Linked DNA regions of Ovis aries. The protein of the gene in region 1 interacts with the protein of each later gene in a biochemical or structural test. Links are inferred from orthologs where the notes say so. Each region holds a gene or a part of one and is shown on either strand. Other genes may lie near its edges. The genes, in order: F5 and PROS1.

Region 1 (3,819 bases):
TGCTTTTGCTAGATCACATCATTCTGTATGTGGTTCACCAGCTCAGTCTGGGGCTAGAGCATATCAGATTTTCCTACTGAATATTAGATTTCCCTAGAGTCTGGGTGGTTTAGTCGCTAAGTTGTATTCAACTCTTGCGACCCCAGATAGAGGAGTTTGACAGGCTACAGTCCATGGGATTCTCCAGACAAAAATACTGGAATGGGTTGCCATTTCCTTCTCCAAGAATCTGGGAAACAGGCCAGAAGCTCACCCATGAATCTCATAGTATTTGTTATACAGTACAAGCCATTATTAGAGAATCCCATTCTGCCTACTTTCTAGTCTTGCTATACTAGTAATCCCATGCTTCCAGACTCTAAGCATGGTATACAGCCCCCTAGAACATACATAAATGTGTGTGCTAAGTCGTTTCAGTCACGTCTGACTCTTTGTGACCCGATGGACTGTGGCTGGCCAGGCTCCTCTGTCCATGGGATTCTCCCCCGCGACACACATGAGGTTTTGAAGGAACTGGTTTCATCTCTTTACACTCTAGAAAACCTTACTCCCTCAGGAACTTGCTTAGCAATCCCCAGATAAACTACTTATTCTCATATAGTAAAGGGTGTTACAGTTAAATAGGAAGTCACAGGAGAAAGTCTCTTAAACTCAGAGTTTTAATATGGAAATGTCTGGCACCAGACGTTAACTGGCACCAGATTAATGAAATAATTTCTCTGAATCACACCATGTGTTGTGTTTACTTACTCTAGTTGCACTTTGATTTTAATTTATTAGGGTAACAGCTAGCTTTTGTGAAAGCTATGAGCTATATTTAGACAGTATAAATATGGCCATCAGCTACCATGTCATCAGCTATACCCAAGAATTTGTAGTTGCTTTTTGTACCCCTTTCTCTTCTTTCTCTGTCTTGTCATCCCAGAATACAGAACCCAGTCCAATGTGGTTTTCCATAATTGAGAAAATTAAAATGAAAACTAACTTTAAAAAATGCATGTCAATCCATTAAAAACTCTCTGTTGTAAGTCAGTCCACTTACAAAATTGCATCAACTCCTTCAACTCTATGGTTGAAAAGTGGCTAGAACCCTAAAATGTTAGAGCTGAAGCAGATCTTGGGACCCACTTTGTGTAACTGCTTGTTAAAAAGACTGCAAATATCCCAATCAACTAGGAGTGGCTTAAAACTTTTGACGGTTTCTCACTGCTCTTGGAAGAACATCGAAATTCTTCCCAGGGCCCACAAAGCCTAGTAGTATCTTATCTCTACAGAGCTAGCCAAACACTTTCTTAGCACACACCCTCATCTTGAGCTTCAGCTACCAAGGCCTTTAGTCTCAGGGCTTCCTCCTTCCCCAGGGCCTTCATCATGCTGTTTTCTCTGTCTAGAATGCTCTCCCCTCTCCACTTTCTGTTCATTTTCAGATCTCAACTCAAATGTCACTTTTCCAGTCAGACTTCCCACTTCTCATATCACCACTGATCACCTTTCCTTATTGGTCTTCATCATGGTTAATTTTTTTACACTTATTTATATGAGTGCTTGGTTCATATCTACCTGCCCAACTAGACACAAGTTCCATCAGAGCAGGAATCACTTGCATTTATATTCTCTTTTACCGTCTCAGCGCTTAGCACAATGCCTAGGAGAGAATAAGCCCTCATTAAGGAGTTATTGGACTTCCCAGGTGGCACTAGTGGTAAAGAACCTGCTCGTCAATGTAGGAGACATAAGAGATGCAAGTTCAATTCCTGGGTCAGGGAGATCCCTTGGAGGAGAGCATGGCAACCCACTCCAGTATTCTTGCCTAGGGAATTCCATGGAGAGAGGAGCCTGGCCGGCTACAGTCCATGGGGTCATAAAGAATCAGACACGACTGAGCACACACACACACACAAAGAATTATTAACTGAGTGATGTTATAAACCAAGTTAAAATAAAAGTTCCAATCAAGATGAATCATAATCTAATGAATGGCTCAATCGAGGGCATAAACTTGCTTTTTGCTTCTAAGCTACTTTATACCCTTGACCTCTGCAACTGGAATCACATGGAATTTGACTTAATCTTCATCAAGATGGTATATACTTCATACTAATCAGTTAACAATTTAAAAATATTTTTGTTAAGTAATGGCAAAAGGAGATTTCTACATCACAAATTTAGATTTGAAGCCAACTTCAGTGAAATCGTATTGATTATCCTATAGCTATTGATAAGTCGCTTCCCAGGTGGTGCTAGTGGTAAAGAATCTGCCTACCAAAACAGGAGACAGAGGAGATGCAGTTTCAATCCCTAGGTGGGGGAAGATCCCTGGAGGAAGAATGGCAACCCACTCCAGTATTCTGCCTAGGAAATCCCATGAACAGAGAGCCTGGCAGGCTATAGTCCATGGGATCACAAAGAGTCAGACATGACTCAGCAACTAAACAACAACAACATTGATAGATTGGGCTCTGCACTGGAGCAAGAAGGAGTAGGAATATATTTGATGAGCAAAGAAGAGAGAGGAGGGTGCTGATTTAAGTACAGCATATCAAAGACTTCTCACAGAGATGGCTTTTGTGTTATCCAGATGTCACCTGAAGTGGAAAAGCTTATCTTGAAATTGACAATGGAAACAGTATAAGCCAAGTTGCACTATATGGGGGAACTAAATTATACTTAGCACGATTTGTCCAAAATCATCTTCTTAGACTGTTGTAATTACTTTTTTTAGCACTAGTGGAAAAAATGAGAATATAAGAACTGGTCAAACCTTTGCACAAATTTTGAATAATCCCAGGATATTTCTTCAGCTGCAATGTAATAATTTTTTCTGTTTCCATTGTTGCTGCGGAGGTACCATGCTGCAATGTTGTCAGGATTTCTGGAGGAGCTGATATCTGTCCTAAGATCAGTTTGGTAAGGGTCATTATAGGCTACAAATTCAAATTCACCATAGTCTTCTTCACTGCTCTCTTCCTTCTGCCCTGGAATAATTTCAATATAATCTCCATCATCTCTACTGAGGCCTACTACAACCAGTGGATTAAATTCTTCTGGTATAAAAGTGTTATTTAGTGTGGAGTCTGGTGGAGGAGATGGCATCTGACCAATATCTGCATAAGGGAAAGTCTGACCAAATTCTGGAAGAGACAATGACTGACTTGATTCAGAAGTGTGGGATGTCTGATCAAGATCTAGAGGAGGTGATGTCTGCTTGAGATCAAGCTGGCCAAGGTCTGGAGAGAGAGACTCCTGGCTGAGGTCTGGAGAAAGGGCTGTCCGGCCTAGGTCTGGAGAGAGAGACTCCTGGCTGAGGTCTGGAGAGAGGTCCGTCTGGCCAAGGTCTGGAGAGAGAGACTCCTGGCTGAGGTCTGGAGAGAGGGCCGTCTGGCCAAGGTCTGGAGAGAGAGACTCCTGGCTGAGGTCTGGAGAGAGGGCCGTCTGGCCAAGGTCTGGAGAGAGAGACTCCTGGCTGAGGTCTGGAGAGAGGCCCGTCTGGCCAAGGTCTGGAGAGAGAGACTCCTGGCTGAGGTCTGGAGAGAGGCCCGTCTGGCCAAGGTCTGGAGAGAGAGACTCCTGGCTGAGGTCTGGAGAGAGGCCCCTCTGGCCAAGGTCTGGAGAGAGAGACTCCTGGCCAAGGTCTGGGGTAGGGGCCATCTGGCCAAGGTCTGGGGAGATGGATGGTTGACTGAGGTCTAGAGAGGTAGCTGTCTGCCAGACTTCAGGTTCCAAGGAAGGGAAAATTTGACTCACATCAGTAGGGATGGCCTGGTTTCTTAGGTCATAGTTGGGTATCTGGCTGGGCTGTGTGGGAGGAGATCTGTTACT
Region 2 (4,451 bases), on another chromosome or scaffold:
CAATCTTAGGACTGTGATGTACATTTGTGGTCTTAAAATGATTTAAAAGTTTCACACTCGGTTGAACTTTTTTAAAGATCAAGATTTTTTTTTTAGGTCCTTTGCATTTCGCTAACCTTTCTTCATACTCTGTATTTTTTAATGTCTATATGGGTGATGCTTTGTTATGAACGCTATTGATGCATGATATTTGAAGTCTTCCCTTGTGAAATATTGATATCTCAAAGCCAATATTCTACTCTTAATTCTTCCTCAAGAATGAGGCAATGCTGTGGCTTAAATGCATTTAAATATTCAGTAATTAAATATAATACTTAAAAGTCATTTTGTTTTATGTTCTGATTGCTAGCACACCAAACAATTCTACAGAGATTAGACATATTTTTAATTAAATCGCCTGGGTTTGGAATTCAGACATAGCAAGAAGGAAGTTAAAAGAGGGAAGAATATGGATATGTTCAGCAACTCCTTTGCACATTTTCAGAAATAGTGACCCACATAAACTTCCATCCAGCTGGATCACAGAACCACAGAAAGCTAGAGCTGGGAAACACCCTTGAGAGAGCATCAGGCTATTGACTTTGACACACATAGAAAATCAGTTGATACATTGATTAGGCAGAAATACTGACAGTGATACTTAGGAAGTGTGCCTTAAGTATGGGCTACCCTTTAACACACTAATTGCCTCACATGTGTTCTCTCTCTAAATTCTTCCCTCAACACTGTAAAAACTTACTATTATCTCCATTTTACAGATAATACAATTAGTAAACTGCAGAGCATGGCCACTCTAATCTAGGCGGTTCTTAAACTTAGTCTTAAACATTAATAACATGTTTCAAATGTGCATGCCTAAACATAAAAAGCAGAGGTAATATGCAAAAACCAAAGATGAGCTATTTGAAGGTGATAGAATCCGATACATTCGCTTTTCTCCGCAGAACTTTTTTTTTTTTTTTGCTATACTTTACACTATAAATGCAAGAACAAAATTAAAACGTTGATGATCAAAACCTCCATTAGCTCTGTTCTCCGCAGCCAACTTAGAGTTCTCATTTTTTCCAGATTTTGGTTAACATCTTCATCGCCAACATCAGATTTTTTCCTTTTAAACTTTAAGCCTGGATACCCCGATCTTTAAGAGTCAGACACGATGAGCGACTGAACTGAATTGAACTGAACCCTGATCTCTGAGTCCTCTGTCTTCTGGGCCACTCAAGTCTTCCACTCCGGCTCGCTGGAGGTGGTGGAGATGGTCGTTTTAAACGCTTTTGCTTCCTGTTGTTGGCAAACTTCATATTCCGGAGACCAGAACGAAGCGCTGAGTCTCGAAAGGGCCAGGAAGGATGTCTCGACAGTGTTTACCAGGCCTCCAGTTCTCTCCCTGAGCCCTGCCCCCAGCTCCGAAATGAAAAGCTTCCAGGAAATGTCCCTGTTATCACTTCCCCGCCGGGCGGGGGGCTGGGAGCGGGCGGTCCCCTCCGCCCCCGGCTCCGCGGCTCCGCTGGCGCACTGGCGCACTGGCTCGCAGGCGCCCCCGCGCCGCAGTCCTCAACTAGCGGCGCCCGGGTCGTAGCTCCGCCGCGCGCTGGGCGCTGGGGTCCCCGCCGCAACGCGCCTCCGCTTCTGCCCGCGCCTCCGCCCGTTTCGCCATGAGGGTCCTGGGTGGGCTCACGGGGACGCTGCTGACGTGCCTCGCCCTAGTGCTTCCCGTCTTGGAGGCGAACTGTGAGTAATCAATAGCGTCTTGTCTTCTTTCCCTCAGCGGTGCCAACTGAACTACGAGCCCTGTTGGACGGGTTTTCTTTTCTGGGGCTGCAGCCTCCTAGAAAGTTTCCAGTAAATGCTTCCATCAGCAATGTATCTAGCGGGCCTTGTAATGGTGGGGCAGGGTCAAATGGGAGTCGTGTTGCCTACGGGACAGATTCTAAAACAAGAGTGATACTAAACATCAGTGAAGGAGTTAGAACACCTACCTACCAATTGCCCCTAACAGTGGAAGTTCTCAGTCAGATGACAAGGATGAGCACACTGCAGTATAAAAGTAGGGAGGAAAGGCAACCCCCTCTTGTCTTCCATTTGTACAAGCGCCTGACCCCAACCGGCACCCCCTGCTGCAGCCTACCTCCCTTCTGCAATTTCTGGACTTTGATCTTGCTCTGCTTATCTCAACATTGACAAACGAATTGTTAGGAGATGACTGCGCGTTTGCATAGCAGATCATTTTTTTAACCTTGAAGTCTAAAGGACTGTTAAATATTGTAGTTCTCAGATCGTTTTTTACTGACAGTTTTTGGCACTGAGTGCCGCTCTTCTGAGATCATCGCAGGAATTCTTTTCAGTTTATCTTCGTATGTCTTGTTCTTTATGTTTCCGTGCCTCGATTCAAGGCAGGATATTGAGTTTTCTGTGAAAGAATGTAATCATATCAAGGTATTTAGTACGTTTTAGTTGCCACTTAGTTTGTTCTCTAAAGTTTAAGCACATTCGCTGGTCAAAAATGCTTTCTTGTGATATGTTTTATTCTCAGGAAATGGCATGGGAGAGATAAACTGAATTACACCATAAATGGTTAAAGCTCCATTGTAAGTTTCACAAAGATATAATTTCAGGAGAATTAAATAGGAATTTACTAACATTCCTCGGTGTTTAAGTGGTAAAGAAGCTGCCTGCTAACGCAGGAAACGTGGGTTCCATCTCTGGGTTGAGAAGATCCCTTGGAGGAGAGAAGGACAACCTACTTTCTGGGAAAATCCCCTGGAGAGAGAAGCCTGGTGGACTACAGTTAATAGAGTCACAGCGAGTTAGACAGGACTGAAGCGACTGAACATAACACACACAACATTCTACTGATTTTTCTTAGTTACAGATCAGGATGAATGTGATGTTTTAAAATTCTAATTTAAAGGCTAAAAGAACATTTATTGATTTTATATTAAAGGTCTGTTGCAGAACTTCGACATACAAACCTCTGTCATTAAGCCTATATGTGGACCACATACACTAACTCATTATCTATATAGCTCAGTAGGACAATCAAGTGTTTGTCTGATAACCAGTGTTTTGGAAATGAGAAAAAGGCAAAAATGGCTTGCTACACTTACTGCTTGTCACCACAGAAATTTGCTAAACCATTTGTTTTTGTAGAGATTGTTACATTTTTGTTAAATCTTTTGTTGTTGTGTAGTTGCTAAGTTGGTTTTACAAACCATTGTCTGTAGCTGAGTTAAAAATGATGTGTGCTGTGTTTGTCATTATACCCGTGTAACCATGCCATACATAGGGAGAAATACACTTGTTATATATACACACTAATAGAATAGATAAATTAATTCTTCTATAAAGAATTAATTTGCAGAATTAATTCTTCATATGGCCATAAAGAATAGGTGGCACTATAACACCTTTGTTTTAAAAAGTATAATAGTTTAATGGGATTAAAAATCATTTCTGGCTTACTGATAAGAAAACTGAGATATAGATGGAATGTGTTTACTCCCTGAGATTTTAAACTTGAGATAGAATTAAAGTTCTATTTGTTATATGATTCATTGTTTAGTCCATAGAAATAGTCATTAAAGGAAAAAGTTTATAAACTTTTTTGAAATTGTTCAGAGATATGAACTGACTTTTCAGACATGCATACATATAGATTTGGATCTATATGTATATCTATCTATTGATTTAAAGTTTATTCTTTTATATATTGTATGCCACACTAAAGGCTGTGTGAAGAAAAATAGAGGAAAGAGGATGTCCCCTTTGGCTGTGCTAATTTGGTCCTTTCCAGACATCTACTTCTGCTTAGGTGTCTACCCTGGACATTAATGACTCCTGTTTTTCTTCTCTTTTCTACTTTTTCTTTCCTTTTCTGAATTTTTTTTTTTTTTTTTTTTTACCATTTATCTAGCTTTGTCTTTTCTTAAATTCCCTTTATTTCAGAGTTCAAAATGTGTTGCAGTGATGGAGAGATTTTTATCAAGTTTAGATTAGAGTTGGGGTTGGTGCTGGAAGAGTTAGAGACAATGTCTGGTATACAGCATCATCATCAATAACAACACCCTGTGCCATATTCTTCTGCTGTTAATCACATCTAGGATGTAGAACCTTGCTTTTCATAATCAATCTTTTCTGTCCACCAAGTTCAGTAAAACTCTTTAATAGCTAAGTGATATCTATTCCTATTTAAACTTTTAAAATACTGAGAAAAATGTGAGAAGCCTGATAATACCTATATTAATTAATATTCTTTGGCTATAAGCAACAGCAATGACTCTTGATAACTAAAGGCAAAGGGAAGGAAGAAGGAAGAGGAAGAGAGAAAAAGAAAGAAAAGAAGAAATAAAGAAAAAAAGAGGGGGAAAAAAAAAGCTGAGTGAATTGATTGGAAGACTAGGGAAGCCAGGGACTTGGGCATTTAGGTGATCTATATAGTGGAAACTCATGTG

Evidence for each region.
Region 2: the proteins of F5 (region 1) and PROS1 form a complex in vitro, tested with the Homo sapiens proteins (2 studies listed by BioGRID). The link is inferred for Ovis aries from reciprocal best matches to the Homo sapiens genes F5 and PROS1.

The regions. Positions count from the first base shown.
Region 1 is NC_056065.1:36,462,326-36,466,144, forward strand, and holds part of F5 (coagulation factor V), read right to left. Parts: coding exon 2,762-3,819; intron 1-2,761. UniProt on the Homo sapiens protein: Central regulator of hemostasis. It serves as a critical cofactor for the prothrombinase activity of factor Xa that results in the activation of prothrombin to thrombin.
Region 2 is NC_056054.1:159,245,566-159,250,016, reverse strand, and holds the start of PROS1 (vitamin K-dependent protein S), read left to right. Parts: upstream 1-1,547; 5' UTR 1,548-1,655; coding exon 1,656-1,731; intron 1,732-4,451. UniProt on the Homo sapiens protein: Anticoagulant plasma protein; it is a cofactor to activated protein C in the degradation of coagulation factors Va and VIIIa. It helps to prevent coagulation and stimulating fibrinolysis.